3 linked regions of the Daphnia pulex genome follow. The protein of the gene in region 1 purifies or fractionates together with the protein of each later gene. This does not show direct contact. Links are inferred from orthologs where the notes say so. Each region holds a gene or a part of one and is shown in the gene's direction. Other genes may lie near its edges. The genes, in order: AP-2 complex subunit mu, serine/threonine-protein phosphatase 6 regulatory ankyrin repeat subunit A-like and AP-1 complex subunit gamma-1-like.

Region 1 (5,918 bases):
CCACTCCATTAGGTGGCGGATTGATTACCGTTGGACCGGCTGCGCCATTATCCGCCATGGCCAATATGACGCACGCAGTACCTCCATCTTCGTCGCCAATCACCATTTCCACTCAGGGACCACGAATGGCTATGTCGACTTTACAGCCAGTAACAGTTACTGTCTCAGCTTCCCCAGCACCTCAATTTCCTCTACCTTCTCCGGCTCGGACACAGCCATCAACAACACCGCTGCCCAGTACTACCGAAAAAGTAGAAGAGCCGAAACCATCTCCTCGCAATGCAGTAACCGACTCTCAAACCCCTTCGGCCCCTACGACAACAACTCCTGCTGTAGAGGAACCGTCTACCGAAAAGAAAGAAACGCCTCAGATGAACGGAATAGGAGGAAATCAAGGAGATCATCACATGGTTAGTCATTCGCCAGCTATCCGCGAGAAAAAAGACCCCAATTTGCCTCAAGCAGTTGTACGGCCTCAGATATTGACCCACGTATTGGGTGACTTTGTGATCCAAGAGTCATCGGAACCTTTCCCAGTCGGCCGTTTCCATCCGAATGAATCTCTGACGCGCTGCAACGGACAACGGAATCAAGATCACAGTTTCAAATTGGATGGAGAACCTCCGAGTAAGATTATTTTTTCAAATAATTGATGTTTTGTTTGATTGCATGTATTTAGTTTTGCCAAAGTTTGGTTTACTCATGACCCAAATTCCCCCCTCCCTTAAACAGAGAAAAAATTACATATGGAACAACCTACAGTGACCCATCAATCTCCACCTCTGGCACCCCCGCCTGCGCCGCCTACCACCACAACAACTAACGATCTTCAGCAGATGTCGACGCCTAAAGGAGCTACCATGGCCACATGCGAGGGATGTGGAAAAATGGATTTCATTTCCAAATTTCGTCGTTCAAAACGCTTTTGTTCCACAGCCTGCTCGAAAAAGTATGTCATTAACCCATTTATCTTTTGACTCTTTTAATTTTAACCGTGTTTGTTTACTTTTGAAATAGGTCTAACATAAATGCTTCGCCAGCAGTTGGACCCGTTCAGCCGAATCAACAGCAGCAGCAGCAGCAGGAAACTGTCTCGACAACGACTTGTGTCAACGGTCAGGGAGTAAAAGCAGCCGTTGGCGGTGGTGGTGGGCTACTGACCACTGCGACGTCAACCACTCACTCACCCGCTGCTGCTTCAACAACAGCCGAAGCCAACAACAAATTGGCTTCTCCAACGGCCGTGACAATTCCTCAGGGCCCAACTCCTCCAACGAGCTTTGCTCCCTCTGGAGATAAAGAAGATATCAGCTTGGATGCAGAGTTGTGTGCTCTGGCTGCTCAGCAATTGCGTTCTCCCACAGCCTCACTATCTCAAACACCAACTCACCAGCTCAAACCTGAGCCGAAAACTAATCCAGCCAAGTGGAGTGTAAGTTATTTATTGTTACGACTTAGATTGCACTGATAATTAAGACTTCTATTCATTCAGGTTACCGAGGTCGCGGATTTCGTGCGAAGTTTAACTGGATGTGCAGATTATGCCGAAGATTTCGCATTGCAGGAAATTGATGGCCAAGCGCTCATGTTATTGAAAGCCGATCATTTGATGTCTGCCATGTCGATGAAACTTGGGCCGGCATTGAAGATTTGCGCCAAGATTGATGCTATGCGTGGTGCATCCTCCTCTGAGGGCGGTAATAGCAATCCACAAAACGGAAATTAATGTGGGAAAAGTTCAATCCCCCATTTTTGTGTTGTTCTCCACCAGAAATCGATACGTGTTATGTTTGCCTCATTCAACTGTAATTTGACTCATTGTACTTTTCTGTCTATAGTTTGTTTATGGTTCACGATATGTTTCTTCGTCATTTCTCTCTACGTATTTTGCTTTGGTTATTCACCTTCATTACAGTAATTCTCATTTCGTATGACACATAGATCGTCAGTGAACAAATATATATATATAGATCATTCATACAAAATGTAATGCTCGGTGTAACAAAAGGCATTTAGGACAAAAATGCCATATAACCGCATATAACATTTTCGGAACGAAGAATTTTCGTTTTCAGTGTAATAAATTGACATTGTAATAATAATTTAAATATACATAAAAATCCATTGAATCAAACGTATTTCGTATTATTTTTAATGGTATATTTTTAAAAAATGCTTGAATCAGTCGAATTCTTGAAAATGATTTTAACCTTGAAAGTTCTACTTCCACCCGAGTATTTCAAATGTGGCGCTCCGAGCGCTTTACGGACTTCAGCTGTTTGGCCTGTGATATGGATTGACTTTCTTTCTTGTTAGCACTGTGTTACTGTCATTTCACTCTGACAGTACAAGTCTGCTATCAAACCAAATTGAATACTTATCCACAGTGGGAGAAATTGGGCTGGTAACAGTTACTTTGAGGTAAGAGGTTATGTTTTTTTCGTTGGTGTGGTTTTGAATTATGATGTTTAAAGCGACACAAGACCGTGATCTTCAGGAACGGTGGTTGTGTGTTGGGTAATGCGAAAGTTTATTGGTAGGCGTTGCTCGATATATCAGCTAGTCTACCGGTATTGAGACGGGATATCCTGTGAAGGCAATCAAAAGAACTCGTGCATGCATGGCAAAAAGATAATTCAACATTTCAACAAAAAGTTGCATAGCTTCATTTGCATACTCTAGTTCACAGAGCAAACCATCTACCAAAGAGTTCTTATGGACTTGTATACATGCTAAATGTCATTCTGCACGTTTGAAAAAAAAGTGTTATTTTCTTCATTCATAGGTTTATCACAAAGCTTCAAGAGTCAAGATGATTGGAGGCCTTTTCATCTACAATCACAAAGGAGAGGTCCTAATATCACGTGTGTACCGTGATGACATTGGCAGAAATGCAGTTGATGCTTTCCGAGTAAATGTCATCCATGCTAGGCAGCAAGTCAGATCACCTGTTACAAACATTGCCAGAACCTCCTTCTTCCATGTTAAGGTATTTTCTGATTTGCCATTTTGAAATGTTTTAATGTTCTCAGGATCAATAATCCTTTACCTTTTTTTAGCGTGCTAATATTTGGGTGGCAGCTGTCACCAAACAAAATGTCAATGCCTCTATGGTTTTCGAGTTTCTCTTGAAGGTCACTGACTGCATGCAGTCATACTTTGGTAAGGTATCAGAGGAAAACATCAAGAACAATTTTGTCCTCATTTACGAACTTTTGGATGGTATGTTGGGAAGCAAACACAATTTATTTGTTTGTGTGTTGTTCCTTATCCAATTTATTCATTCTATCAGAGATTCTTGATTTTGGCTATCCCCAAAATACCGACACGGGAGTGTTGAAGACGTTTATTACTCAGCAAGGTATTCGCACGCAAACCAAAGAAGAGCAGGCCCAGATTACCTCTCAGGTATAGATTCGCTCAAACAATTAATGCTCAATGATTGTTTTTAAAATATAATCATGTGGTTATGATTTCCAGGTGACAGGCCAAATCGGCTGGCGACGCGAAGGCATCAAGTACCGGCGAAACGAACTCTTCCTTGACGTATTGGAATACGTCAACCTTCTAATGTCGCCGCAGGGTCAAGTACTTTCAGCTCACGTGGCTGGCAAAGTAGTGATGAAATCCTACTTGTCAGGCATGCCCGAATGCAAGTTTGGAATCAACGATAAGATTATCATGGAGGCTAAGGGTAAACCTACTGCGGATGAATCCGCTGCTCGCACTGGCAAGACAGCTATTGTGATTGACGACTGTCAATTTCACCAGTGTGTCAAGTTGTCTAAATTCGAAACGGAGCATTCGATTAGCTTTATTCCCCCTGACGGAGAGTTTGAACTCATGAGGTTAGTCTGTTCTCCTTTGGTATATACATTGAATTTATGCTAACAAGTGTTATTTTCGATTGCAGGTACCGAACGACCAAGGACATTTCGTTACCTTTCCGAGTTATACCGTTGGTGCGCGAAGTGGGCCGGACAAAGATGGAAGTCAAAGTGGTTGTCAAGTCTAACTTCAAACCTTCGCTCCTGGCACAGAAAATCGAGATACGCATTCCAACGCCTCTCAATACATCGGGCGTTCAACTTTTGTGCATGAAAGGCAAAGCCAAGTACAAAGCTTCTGAGAACGCCATCGTTTGGAAGTCAGTTGCAAACTTTTCTTTAGATCAAACATTAGAGCTGTGTTGTTAAACTTGTGTGGTGTTGATGTTGACAGGATCAAACGGATGGGAGGTATGAAGGAATCACAACTTTCAGCTGAAATTGAGCTTTTGCAAACGGACACGAAAAAGAAGTGGACTCGACCCCCCATTTCCATGAACTTTGAGGTATTTTCGAGGATGATGTGTGTCGTGCATATCGATTGCTCTAATTTGGATTTCTATCATAGGTTCCGTTTGCACCATCGGGCTTTAAAGTTCGATATTTGAAAGTCTTTGAACCCAAGTTGAACTATTCTGATCACGACGTCATCAAATGGGTTCGCTACATCGGACGCAGCGGCCTCTACGAAACGCGTTGCTGAAGAAACGGACGATTCATTTTCGTTGGAAGATGAAGAAACTCGTCTCCAATTCTATTTCTCCTCTTCATGATTAACCCATCACTTACTACTCGTCCGAAAGAAGAAAAAAAAAGAAGAAAGATCTTTGTTAGTCTGTCTTATACTTAGGTCGATGTCGTTGTTGCATCTGCTGAGCGGTGCGAGAGAGTGGATGAATCCTGCTAATGGGAAAAGTAGCTCTGTCTGTTAAGTTTCTTTCATCCAGGATCAAAATTCTGTTTAGTTTAATATTCAAAAGCTTGTACTTCTCTCATCTACTTCTTTTCTCTTCCTTTTATTTTTTTTCATCCGTGTTGAGTGTTGAGTACGTCGTCGGAATTATTTTTCCTTCCCATCTATATCATTGTTAGTGCGCAGAGAGCGAAATTAACCCCCTTCTCCCCCTACCCCCAAAAAAAGAAAAAAAATATCCACAGAATAGTCGTCTTGACTGGATTGCGTTGTTACTGCTTGGATTAGCAGTTCGCGTTCTCTCTCTCTCTTTTTCTCTCTCTGTTTGTGCGCGTGATTTATATGTTACATGTTTTGATTTACCCAGTTTTTTTTTGTGTCTGTGCACATTACATTAGGGATGAGTAACTGAGCCTCCACCGTGGCTGTCACTTGAGTTGCTTGTTTTCTATCCTCTTCGTTTGTGAAGGGTGAGCCAGAAGCGAAATGTTGGTAGGGAAAAAAGGGAGAGCTAGAGACAGTCGGCGGGCAAGAAGTTGTTAACCCAAAAAGATATGAGCGTGATGCCATGTCGGACCCCATGTCCATGTTACCCATAAATGGTGACGAATCGAGATCTGCCTGATATAACTTTTATTTCCGAGAGTTTTTTTATATAGTAGAGTTGCTCAACTTTTGGTACGACACGAATGGAATAATTTTCACCTCCCTCGCTCCGCTGGAAACTAAAAGAAGGAAAAGAGAAAGAATTCAATCATCCCCAATCGTTCATTCATGCATGCTTCGTACGCGCTTCTTCTTGTGTTCGTTTTTCCGGGTCGACCGGGGAAAATACGCTCCATCGATCCTGCTGTCGAACTGGGAACATGGTTCCTTTACTTCCACAAATCCGTTTTTAGACTTGTATATACCGAGAAGTGAAAAGTCCATGTCATTGAAAATGGCTGAAAGATATGACTAAATTGAAGAACAAAAAAAAAAGGAAACGTCAAGACAAGGATAGAATTCTGAATCTACTACTATTGATTTACTCTGTCTGTCGTTGGTGATTGCGTCGTTGGCCGCTAGTTCCTGTTTTAGGCGCTGTAATCGCAACGTGTATTTACTATTTTATTCCTACTTGATCTGTCAGTCGATAAGACGAGTGTATAAAAAAGAGTAGAATACCGAAACAAAAA
Region 2 (5,620 bases), on another chromosome or scaffold:
TTAGATAATAATAAGAAACGTACAGACAGAAAAAAATTCTGGGCCATTTTCGATAAATCCCCGATCGCACAGTCAATCCAGTAGAAACTAACCCTCCGAATAGCACTTGATTTATGCACTGCTTATTTCCTCCTAGTTTACAAGAGGCCTGAGAAGAGTCCTATAGTCGGTCCGAAGCGATGAAAATGAGCAACAAAATTGAGTTTTTATTTTGTTTCTCAATTTGTTGCATCTTAAATCACGTGGCAACAAAAGAAGCGTTTTTCTAGAATGTTGCTCTTTTAAAACACAAAATAATTAATTAACAAGACGATGAACTGTCCGGCTGCTGCCGAACTGGCATTCCCTGGTTTAAGAATTCTAAATAGTGGGCTAACTAGAACTTTGCCTCATCTCTCAACATGATGGACTATACCCTTAATTATATCCTCAACCGTTAAAAAATCAGACTAGTAACGATTAGATGACAGAGTTTTTTTTTTTAAATATTTTATATGATTTTTAAAGACCTTTTTACAAATTAAATGGCTGGGTAATAAAGAACTGAACTTGAATAGGGACATACGAGAAACAAAAAGAAACTATGAAACGTTATTATTATTGTTTTGATTAAAAATGAGTTTATTACACGTAGGAATACACAGTAACGCACTAACTATTTTTGTGAAACGACCGAAAGGAAAGGTTTCGAAAGATCGACTTATCAACTACAAGTTAATATTGAATTATAGACGTTAGTTTGCATAAGTTCGGTACTTTCCATTCTGCGTGATCCAACATACAAAATTATATCATGTGAAACATTTAACACAAATTAATTAACAAACAATTATGTAATATGTTTAATTGGACAGTACGTGTTGCACGCTTAATTGTTGTTAAAGTATTTATCCTGCGTTAGTCGTTTTTTAGTTCCTCAAACAGTCACACCTTTTCATTTTGTGTTTTCTCCTTCCTTTTAGTAGAACATATTTCGCGTGTCAGTTATTTTCCTTGAGTTGATATTTGCAAAGAAAATCTTTCTTAAAAATTATTTTTTTTTTGTATAATTTTTATATGGTTAACACTATTATTTCATAAAGACGTAGTTTTGCGCCAAGGAATTACACATCGGGAAATCGAATATTCCAAATCCTTAACGTAACATTTTAATTTTTTCAAAATATTAGGAACATTTGAATAGAGATGTCCTTGATTTATTGGCTGTAATATCTATGTCCACATATTTGAATTCCGTGTTGTATGTTATCACGAAATAAAAGCATCCGAAAAGCAACGGATTATTATCACTCTCCTTTCATTTAAATATTACGAAGAATTGCCGTGCCCGGCCGGTCCCTCTTGGGTTAGTCTAGATTATATCTTTCTAATTAATGAAGGGATAAAAGCCTGGTCCGAGTAGCGAACACAAAAACAAATCGATGTCAAATCAAATCAAACTTGATGACAGTTTGGAGTTTGAACTTGTCATTTTAGCACACCTGACGTCTGCTAGGAACCTGGTCTACACGCTGCATGGCAAGTTCCAGAGATGGCGCTGGCGACTGGCTGGTTTGAAAATTTGAAGGAAGAAATTCAAAGAGACCAGATTTTTCCAAACTAGCCCCTCCCCTTGGATAGACACGTGACCATCCCACGTATATACGTATCATACTGCTGTGCTTTGCTCATGACACCACGGTGGTGCATGGTGGCGCACGACATAACAAAACCATTTAGTTCTTCCGGTTCTTCCTTCATGTGGTTTTGTTACTCATGTAAATTCCTTTCTCAATTTTTTTCGTGAACGAGACCGGAAAGTTGTTTGAAATGGTTATCTTAGATCTTAATAATGAAGTGAGTTTGCTTACAGACAGAATTGTGTCAATAATTAACAGAAATCGTGCGATTAAAGTATTCAATATTCACAAACAAAGTATTTTGATTTTACTTTGTTTTCAATTTTTCAAAATGCATCAAACTGTTTCAGTTTTAACGTTGTGACGCAAGTACCAGTGTCTCGACGGTTGAGATGAAATCGCTTTACAACTTAAGTGACACTAATTATGTTGCTATGTTAAAATTATTAGTTAAATATGACTGACGTAAATTTGCATTTTTGCAGCCTCTTCTTGTTCAAGCAATTTTCAAAGGAGATTTCAACGAAATAAAAAATCTATTGAAGGAAAATGTTGACATCAATTATCAAGATGAAGAAAAACGCAGTCCGTTGCATGCTGCTGCATTCAAAGGTGATGCCAACATCACAGACTTTTTAATACAAAAGGGAGCAAGAATAAATATCAAAGATTCCAAGTGGCTTACACCTTTACATAGAGCTTGCAAATCAGGAAATGAGGTAACAAAATAATGATTTGATGATAAATGTTTATAGTTTTCTCTAGTAGTTACACATATTTGGTTTATTTTGCAGGATGCAGTTAATGTTTTGCTGAAGTATAATGCTGATACCAATGCTCGTGATAAAAACTGGCAGACTCCTTTACATGTGGCCAGCTGTAATAATGCTTACAAATGTGCTGAAGCCCTACTCGCTTCATCTCCTACTGTAAATGTTTCTGACAGAACAGGTCGTACAGCACTGCATCATGCTTCTTTTAATGGGTGAGATTTGTGATCTCTGTGATGTGTTTAGTTTCCCTAACTGATTTTGTTCATTTTTCTAGTCACTGTGATTTGGTAGAACTTTTGATTGAGCATGGAGCCTCGGTGAATGCGTTCGACAAAAGAGATAGACGCGCACTACATTGGGCATCTTACATGGGTCATGAGTCCGTCGTGAAAATCTTACTGCAGAATGGAGCTGAAGTAAATATACGAGATAAAGACTTGTATTCGCCATTGCACGCGGTAATTTCCCAATAACATTTGTCTTACCATGTTTTACCACTAACTCTAAGTTCCGCCAAATAATTATGAGAATTCACGGAAATAACACCCATTAATTTGAATTAGGCTGCTGCTAGTGGACAAGTTTTTGTGGTGCAACAACTCCTAGAAGCGGGGGCCGATTTTAATGCCAGTAATTCATTCGGTAACACTCCGCTTCATACAGCTTGTCTTAACGGACATGAATTGGTCTGTCAGGATCTCATAGCATCAGGAACTTCTGTCAGTGCTGTAAATTTAGCAGGGCAGACTCCAATTCATGTATCTGCTGCTGCGACTCATGTAAGCCGAAAAATCACTTTAGATGAATACAATTTACGTTTGATTTTGAACATTCTTACATAGGGAGAACGTTGCTTGGGCCTTCTCATAGAACGAGATGCGAATATAAATTTTCAAGCTAAAGACGGGTATTAACTTATCACTTTGTTAACAGCATGGAAACATAAATCACAATGTAAAATTCATTTGATTTTAGGCGCACCCCTTTACACATGACCGCAATTCACGGGCGATTTATGAGAGCACAAATGCTTTTGGATCGAGGAGCGCTAGTTGATATCGGAGACAAAGAAGGTTGCACTATCTTTCTTTTTTAACTATTCAATCATCTTAATATTTTTTAGCTTGTCATGAGTTGACACATATTTTTATATATTCATTAATTACTCACTCGACATAGTTTTTAAATGGATATAGACAAGCTACAGCTAGGTATTCTAAGCAATCGGTTTACGCTAATCCATTAGAAATTTGTGCTATAATTCTAGTGATAAAGTAATTTGTTATTTGTTGACTATTTTCTCATTAGATATTAATTCGCTGGTCAAAACCATCGGAATAAAAACACCTCGTATTTATTATGGTTATTTTTGGTTTCCTTTTAAGGTTGCACTGCCCTACACATTGCAGCTGCACACGGGCACGAACTATTGATTGGCGTGCTTCTCAACGTCGGGGCTGATCCTAGCCGAAAAGGTCGTAGTGGCATGACTCCAATGCACTTAGCAGCCCTCAGCGGCTATGTAGAATGTTGTCGAAAGCTCCTTCAAGTCCGTGGTGAATTAGATGCTCAAGATGATTGCGGAAGAACATGCCTTCATCTGTGTGCTTTTAAAGGAAACGCTGAATGCCTTGATTTACTTATCAGTAGTGGAGCTGATTTTAATTTGATCGACTCCTTTGGTCGGATTCCATTGCATTATGCTGCAAGTCAAGCTCATTTCCAATGCGTCTATACTTTAGTCAGTGTGGGGTCCAGTGTAAATTTAACAGATTCAACCGGTGCAACTGCCCTCCATTACGCCGCTGCTATGGACACCGACGGCAAGTGTGTAGAATATTTACTGAAACGCAAAGCAGACGTCTCCGCTTTGGACAAGCAAGGCTATTCGGTACTTCACTACGCTGCGGCAGGTTTGCATTCCCAGAGTTGTTCGGAAAAATAACAAATGATGTTTACTATTTTTTTTTTATTCTACATAGGTGGACAGCATGGAGCCTTACATGTGCTGTTGAAACACTTTGTGATACCCAATAGCAACGGTCACACCGATGAATCAATGAACGTCTCCCCCCTTCATTTAGCCGCTTATAAAGGTCACAAAGGAGGCGTAACGTCTCTGGCAGCCATACATCCCGATGTAAATATCACTGATTCCAGCGGACGGACTGCACTGGATCTCTCTGCTCAATTTGGCCACATCGAATGTATAAATGCATTAATTGAACACGGTGCTCAACCCGTTGCCCAGCCGAAAACTCTGTTAACTGCAGTTCACAGAGCAGCAGCCAACGGACATTCCTTGTGCCTCAAACAATTGCTACATACGTAACAGCAATCAAAGATTTCATGTGTTTTTAGTTTATTTGATCAAGTTTCTAATTCAAACGATAGGCATATGCAGCTTGTGGATGTGCGCGATTCCAAAAAGCGAACGCCATTAATGCTCGCCGTACAAAACGAAAACGAAGGACGAAAAGCGTGTACCGACATCCTGCTGAGTTACACTTCTCAAGTGGATCTTTTTGATAACAACGGTCGAACGGCTTTACACTACGCTTCATGTCGAGGATTCGAAGATTGTGTCTCCTCGTTATTAGATGCTAAAGCCTCGCCGTATCAAAAGGATTTCCTAGGGAAAACTCCGTTTCACCTAGCGGCAGCCATGGGACATGTTTATGTGCTCAAACAGCTTATACAACAAGGCGCCGATTCTTTAGGTGATGTGAAACTACTAGACCATCAAAGCTATACGCCACTTCATTGGGCAGCTTATAAGGGTGAGGAATCTTTCCTTGTTTTTTCTCATTTCTTCATTTCCCTTTTTTTGATTCATCTCAGCGATAGCATTTGGTCTTTGAAGCCTTTTATATTATATTGTCCACTCTCAGTTTGCCTGAATAATAATTGTCCTAGTGTAGTATGTTAATTGAAAATTCTAACCATCAATCATATCGTCCTGACCGCCCCTTTTCCTTGGTTTATTTGCAGGCCGTGAAAATTGTGTTGAAGTGCTCCTAGGACTTGATTCAGGATCGACATCACTTGGAAATCAATTCACGCCTCTTCACTGTGCTGTGTAAGTTACGTTGTTTACGGTAGCTCCGATTGAGCCGTCAGGATACAAATAAATGTAACTTTCTATCACAGCTCCCAAGGAAACGAGTTATGCGCTGCCGTGTTGTTGGATCACTTGGGACCCTCAGCTGTTCATGCCAAGGATGGAAT
Region 3 (5,629 bases), on another chromosome or scaffold:
TTTTCACGCGCCGCTACCCGTCAGGCCGGGTCGTCATCGGATGAATCGCAAGACCAATGGGCTTCCAGCGATGATTCTAGCGATCATCTTCAATCCGCCAAGGTATATTTTAATTAATTTTATTTGAAGTAATGTTGACTAATAATTATTAATAAAACAGAGATTGATGGCTTGTACGCCACCGAGAACTCCGAGTCCTACAAGTCCAGGCAGCGTCACTTCGATGCCCGTTTCGGTCATCATGATTGGCAAAAAGGACGGAACTGCCGAGCCTGTCCAGCAGCAGCAACAGCAGCAGCAACAAGAATTTAATCACGAAGAGGCTCAAGATAACAAGGAGAAGCTGATGGGCGGTCCTGCATTGCCAGGCCGTCAAATAATATTCGTCGAAAACAAAAACACCAACCGGCATTTACGCAACGCTCATTTCGGAACCGAACAGATCTTTGTAGCCAACAAAGACACTAACCGGGAAGCACGGGAAATCACCAATCACAAGCCACCACCGAATAATAATAATAATAATAATAATAATGAAAATAATAATGAAAATAGTAGTGATGTATTTGTGCAGCAATTTTCTGTATCTCGCTTTGTACCTGAAATGACTATGCCGGCAACAACTTCTCAGGTAACACCAAAAAATTTAATTTGATTAGATAAGAGAGAATTTTTTTAACATTTTCGATTTTTTGATTGATAGGCGATCCCGATAAAATCGCCAGTGGCCATTGCTCCCAAATTGATGCTGAATAGTGCGGCTTTGGGTAATTGTAATGTAATCAATGGATCGTCAGCAACTCGAGTGATCCCGGTCGTGCCGTTGGGGGCAGCAACCGGTGCCGATATTGGCTCGATGGGCGCCAATGGCGCTACTCTTTTCCTGGCACCCTGTGATAACAACGGACAAATAACGCATTTTGTTTTGACTACGGCCGGTATCCCATCCATGACCCTCATCGCTCCAAACAAGATGGTATATACCATTTGATTACGATTTTTCAAACTCGGTCATGTAAAACTAAAATCGAATGTTGGAATTCCAGGAAAGGGAGGTGGATAAACGTCGGCGTATTTATGAATGCCAATTCGAAGGATGTGGCAAAAACTATTTTAAATCATCTCATTTGAAGGCTCACATGAGGACTCATACTGGTAGGTTATAATTATTTAAAAAGGTTTCTCACAAATTTTTTATTCAAATTTTTTCCCTAATCGACTTAGGTGAGAAACCATTCGTCTGCAGCTGGGATGGATGTGATCGCCGTTTCTCGCGTTCAGACGAACTGTCCCGTCACAAACGCACTCACACTGGCGAAAAAAAGGTATAATTTCTAATTTTTGTTTTGTAAAACAATTTGAATTCTTTACAATTGAATTTTTAAAAACAGTTTAGCTGCCCAGTTTGCCAACGCCGTTTCATGCGCTCTGACCACTTGACCAAGCACGTCCGTCGTCATGCTCGCGAGCAAAAACCAATGGCTTGGCAGCTGGCCACTCGCAAACTAGCCTCAGCTAGTTCTTCTACTGCTGTTACTGCTCCTACTACTACTGCCGGCCCTGCTGTGGCTTCTCAATTGATCCCGGCGCAGATTATCCTCTCCGCCTCAACTGCCATTCCCTCAATTTAAGAAAAGAAAAAATAAGCAAAATGATGATGAAATGTTTATTATTTTTCGAATCCTTTTTTTTGTTTTTACTTTGGGGGGTTAGTAGTTACATATGTTTATTTGTTTTTAAAAGCAGACAAAAAGGGCGGGACCTCTGTAGGACACAGTATATATACATCAGCTGTGTGTCTACGGTCGGTCAGTAGGTTATCTCTTCATAACAGCAGCAGCAGGGGGAAGGGGGCGGATATATTTTGTAATGTCCTCTTGTTTTATTTCATTTTTCTTGTTTCAGTTGTCGATGCAACGGCGACACAAATTTCTGTCCCGACCATCGACACGACACATTTTGTTGTGTTATTTGTTAAAACGATTCGTTCGAGCCGTCTAGAGCTTGTTAATTATTTTTATTCACACACACACACACACAAATGATTTATGATAACTATCGAGCTAAATAATAATCGTGTTTCGAACGAATGGACATAATAAATTACGATATTGATCAAGAATATTACGGGTCTAGAATATGAATACAATTAAATAACATTATAAAAAAAAAGCTTTTCTTTTTAACAACACAATGTCGGGAATCAATCGACGTATATATAAGAAAACATAAGAAAACGTACACCCACCGACAACCGCCCCCATTTCCCGACCGGTCTGAATTTTGTTTATTCGGCAATGCTCCACGTCACCTGGGCTGAAAAAGATGGTGGTCGTCGTGTTAGTTTATGACAAATTTTTTAACCGTGCGTGAACTATATACTAGAGCACTCTCTTTAATATATATATATATTTACAATTTACTTTTGTTTGTTGTGCGTGAATCTTTCTCGAAGGCGGCTACGAGTTTTGTTGTTAATCAAAACTCTTTGTTTCTCGAATTTTTGAAAAAAAGTTACCGTGTAGCCATTCGGTGAGTGTTTTATAGACTTGACATGGTTTTTTTTTCTTCTCTCTTTTTCACGAACGATTTGTAAACTGTTAGGCTGTCCATCTGTATTCTAACAAGTGGGTCATTAAGGGAAAACTAAATTATTTTCAAGTTGTAGTTGACCTCAACCTATTGGGAATTTTGTTTGATAGTTTTGGGTAGCATATTAAAACTAAACAACATAAGATTTGACATTGATTGTGTGCTCGACAATACAGGGCTGAACAACACCCACTACAATGGCTAATGCTATTAAGCAAGTCATCAATGAGGTGGCTGAAAAAGGTATGATAAGTCAAAGCATTTATCTTGTATGATGTAATACCCATTTTTGATTTCTATTATTCAGTTAAAATGCCCTCCACGCCCACTCGTCTGAGGGATTTGATACGCCAGATTCGTGCTGCCAGGACAGCTGCAGAGGAGCGGGCTGTGGTGAACAAAGAATGTGCCTACATTAGGGCATCATTCAGGGAAGAGGATTCACAGTGGAGATGTCGGAATGTTGCCAAGCTGCTCTACATACACATGCTTGGCTACCCAGCTCATTTCGGTCAACTAGAGTGTCTGAACCTCATTGCCTCACCCAGGTTCACCGATAAACGAATTGGATATCTTGGGGCAATGCTTTTGCTGGATGAACGCCAAGATATTCATGTCCTCATCACCAACTCCTTGAAGAAGTATGTCTCTGTTCATATTCAATTTCTCTAATGAGATTACCTTTGTCAACCTGTTTTCTACTCTAGTGATTTAAACAACCCCGTCCAGTTTATCGTTGGTTTGGCCCTGTGCACCTTGGGTGCCATTGCGTCGCCTGAAATGTCACGCGATTTGGCCTCTGAAGTTGAGCGGTTGCTCAAGTCCACCAACGCCTACTTAAGGAAGAAGGCGGCCTTGTGTGCTTTCCGAATTATCGGCAAAGTGCCAGAGCTCATGGAAATGTTTTTACCCGCCACAAGATCACTCATCTCAGATAAAAATCACGGTATTCACTCTTGAACATTGTACATGTCTCTTTTACTGGTACTAAAAATTATTTGATGGAATTAGGCGTTTTAATTACGGGAGTCACACTAATCATCGAAATGTGCGAACGGAGTCCAGACACTTTGATTCACTTCAAAAAGGTACACGTCGGATTTTAAAAAATCCTTTTCTGAACGAATTTCTATCGTTTATTTATGCAATCCTCGTTATTTTTAACAAATTATTAATCAATCCACATCCTTTAATTAATCAAATCGTGAAGAAAAACTGAATGTTAATACGTTCCCGTTTGTTTTTTTTGTTTTGTTTCTGTTTCCTTGTTGCGGGATCATCTCTCTCTCTCCCCCCTACGTTGACAAAAACAAAATTTCTTTGCTTTACTTAGGAGCATCGCGAGGTAAAGCATCTTTCGATGTTGTTCGATCCTCTGCACACTCTTGCAATGCACCCTTTTGTTTGTCTGTGTCTGTTTTGTTTGTTTGGGTCGCGTTTTTCGGTGTTTTAATTGGCGTCGTCTGGGCGCAGTTTTAACGATTCTAATTGTTATCTTTTATTTTGATCGTTCTCTCCGCAAATACCAGGTGGTCCCCAGTTTAGTGCGTATTCTCAAGAATTTGATCATGGCAGGTTATTCACCAGAGCATGATGTTTCTGGTGTGAGCGACCCCTTTCTCCAGGTACAATTTTTTACGACTAGATTGTCTTTCTGCAATTAATAAATTCTTGAACACAGGTGAAAATTTTGCGGTTGTTGCGAGTCCTGGGCCATAACGACGCCGAAGCTTCTGAAGCGATGAACGACATTTTGGCGCAGGTGGCCACCAATACGGAGACGTCGAAGAATGTCGGCAACGCCATTCTGTATGAAACGGTGCTTTCGATCATGCACATCAAGTCGGAGAGTGGCTTACGTGTCCTGGCCGTCAACATTCTCGGCCGCTTTCTGCTCAATAGCGACAAGAATATTCGATACGTGGCGCTCAACACGCTGTTGCGCACCGTTCACGCAGACAATTCGGCCGTCCAGCGACATCGTGCCACTATACTCGAGTGCCTTAAGGTTTTATCAAATTCTAAACTACACCAGTGGATTTGAATTTTAAATGAATCTTTGGAATTAATTAGGATCCCGATGTATCCATCAAGAGGAGGGCGCTGGAATTGAGTTTTGCGCTCATCAACGGATCCAACATCCGAGCAATGATGAAGGAGCTGTTGGCTTTTTTGGAGAAATCCGACGCCGAATTCAAGGCCCAGTGTTCGTCTGGAATTGTCAGCGCTACTGAAAGATTCTCACCCAACCGGCGGTGGCATGTCGATACACTGCTGAGAGTTTTGATTGCCGCTGGCAACTTTCTGCGAGACGACGTCGTTTCTAACACGATCCAAATCATTTCGGAGAGCGCCTCGCTCCAGGGCTACGCAGTCGGTCAGTTGTGGAGAGCCGTTAGCTGCTCTTCGGGCTCTTTACAGCACGACGGACAGCCGGGCGATTTAGACTTGCAAGGAGCTACGCTGCCCATCTCTGAACGCCAGCCTCTGGCTCAAGTCGCTTCGTGGTGCCTGGGCGAGTACGGCGACAGTCTCATCAATGGACACACCAACGCCAGCGAACAGGAAGAACCGGTCGTTGCCGGTGAGGACGAAGTGGTTGATTTCATTCAGGGCATTCTCTCGTCGAGCCAAAGTACCATCGTTACCAAGCAATATGCTTTGACGGCCCTCACCAAGCTCAGTACACGTTTCAGCGTCACTGTCGGGTAATTATATCTAATCAGTTGATTAAGAGAGTCGTAAACCAACTAATCTCGATTGTTTGTTTTGCATTCGTAGTCGTATCGAAGATATCGTGACCAGTTTCGGCACTCATTTGAATGTTGAGCTGCAGCAGCGCGGTATCGAGTACGCCCAGCTATTTACCAAGCACGTAGCACTACGTCCGGCCATCATGGAGCGCATACCGCCCATGGAACACAAGACATCACACCAGGGACTGACGAACGGAAGTTCCGGAGGAAACGGAGTCAGCAATGGCGACGATGACATGTTAATGGATGATTTGAATTCTTTCACGACTACCAGCATCACA

Evidence for each region.
Region 2: the proteins of AP-2 complex subunit mu (region 1) and serine/threonine-protein phosphatase 6 regulatory ankyrin repeat subunit A-like purify together in Homo sapiens (affinity purification with mass spectrometry; 3 studies listed by BioGRID and IntAct, counting the BioPlex papers as one, with this or other methods). This does not show direct contact. The link is inferred for Daphnia pulex from reciprocal best matches to the Homo sapiens genes AP2M1 and ANKRD28.
Region 3: the proteins of AP-2 complex subunit mu (region 1) and AP-1 complex subunit gamma-1-like purify together in Homo sapiens (affinity purification with mass spectrometry; 3 studies listed by BioGRID and IntAct, counting the BioPlex papers as one, with this or other methods). This does not show direct contact. The link is inferred for Daphnia pulex from reciprocal best matches to the Homo sapiens genes AP2M1 and AP1G1.

What each region holds. Positions count from the first base shown.
Region 1 is NC_060028.1:9,467,735-9,473,652, reverse strand, and holds AP-2 complex subunit mu, read left to right. Parts: upstream 1-2,262; 5' UTR 2,263-2,421; intron 2,422-2,785; 5' UTR 2,786-2,812; coding exon 2,813-2,989; intron 2,990-3,059; coding exon 3,060-3,222; intron 3,223-3,292; coding exon 3,293-3,408; intron 3,409-3,480; coding exon 3,481-3,848; intron 3,849-3,913; coding exon 3,914-4,147; intron 4,148-4,221; coding exon 4,222-4,333; intron 4,334-4,395; coding exon 4,396-4,530; 3' UTR 4,531-5,152; downstream 5,153-5,918. Other genes in the region: polyhomeotic-proximal chromatin protein-like, read left to right, coding at 1-627, 733-949, 1,018-1,432, 1,493-1,726.
Region 2 is NC_060017.1:4,292,791-4,298,410, forward strand, and holds the start of serine/threonine-protein phosphatase 6 regulatory ankyrin repeat subunit A-like, read left to right. Parts: upstream 1-1,642; 5' UTR 1,643-1,809; coding exon 1,810-1,836; intron 1,837-2,014; exon of another isoform or gene 2,015-2,033; intron 2,034-2,104; coding exon 2,105-2,338; intron 2,339-2,413; coding exon 2,414-2,604; intron 2,605-2,666; coding exon 2,667-2,850; intron 2,851-2,955; coding exon 2,956-3,171; intron 3,172-3,234; coding exon 3,235-3,299; intron 3,300-3,367; coding exon 3,368-3,465; intron 3,466-3,777; coding exon 3,778-4,305; intron 4,306-4,374; coding exon 4,375-4,720; intron 4,721-4,786; coding exon 4,787-5,172; intron 5,173-5,383; coding exon 5,384-5,471; intron 5,472-5,542; coding exon 5,543-5,620. UniProt on the Homo sapiens protein: Regulatory subunit of protein phosphatase 6 (PP6) that may be involved in the recognition of phosphoprotein substrates. Involved in the PP6-mediated dephosphorylation of NFKBIE opposing its degradation in response to TNF-alpha.
Region 3 is NC_060026.1:1,550,448-1,556,076, forward strand, and holds the start of AP-1 complex subunit gamma-1-like, read left to right. Parts: upstream 1-2,292; 5' UTR 2,293-2,532; intron 2,533-2,768; 5' UTR 2,769-2,789; coding exon 2,790-2,835; intron 2,836-2,899; coding exon 2,900-3,233; intron 3,234-3,299; coding exon 3,300-3,538; intron 3,539-3,603; coding exon 3,604-3,680; intron 3,681-3,925; coding exon 3,926-3,937; intron 3,938-4,121; coding exon 4,122-4,217; intron 4,218-4,273; coding exon 4,274-4,600; intron 4,601-4,665; coding exon 4,666-5,300; intron 5,301-5,373; coding exon 5,374-5,629. Other genes in the region: Krueppel-like factor 10, read left to right, coding at 1-102, 161-631, 704-976, 1,047-1,155, 1,225-1,325, 1,392-1,631. UniProt on the Homo sapiens protein: Subunit of clathrin-associated adaptor protein complex 1 that plays a role in protein sorting in the late-Golgi/trans-Golgi network (TGN) and/or endosomes.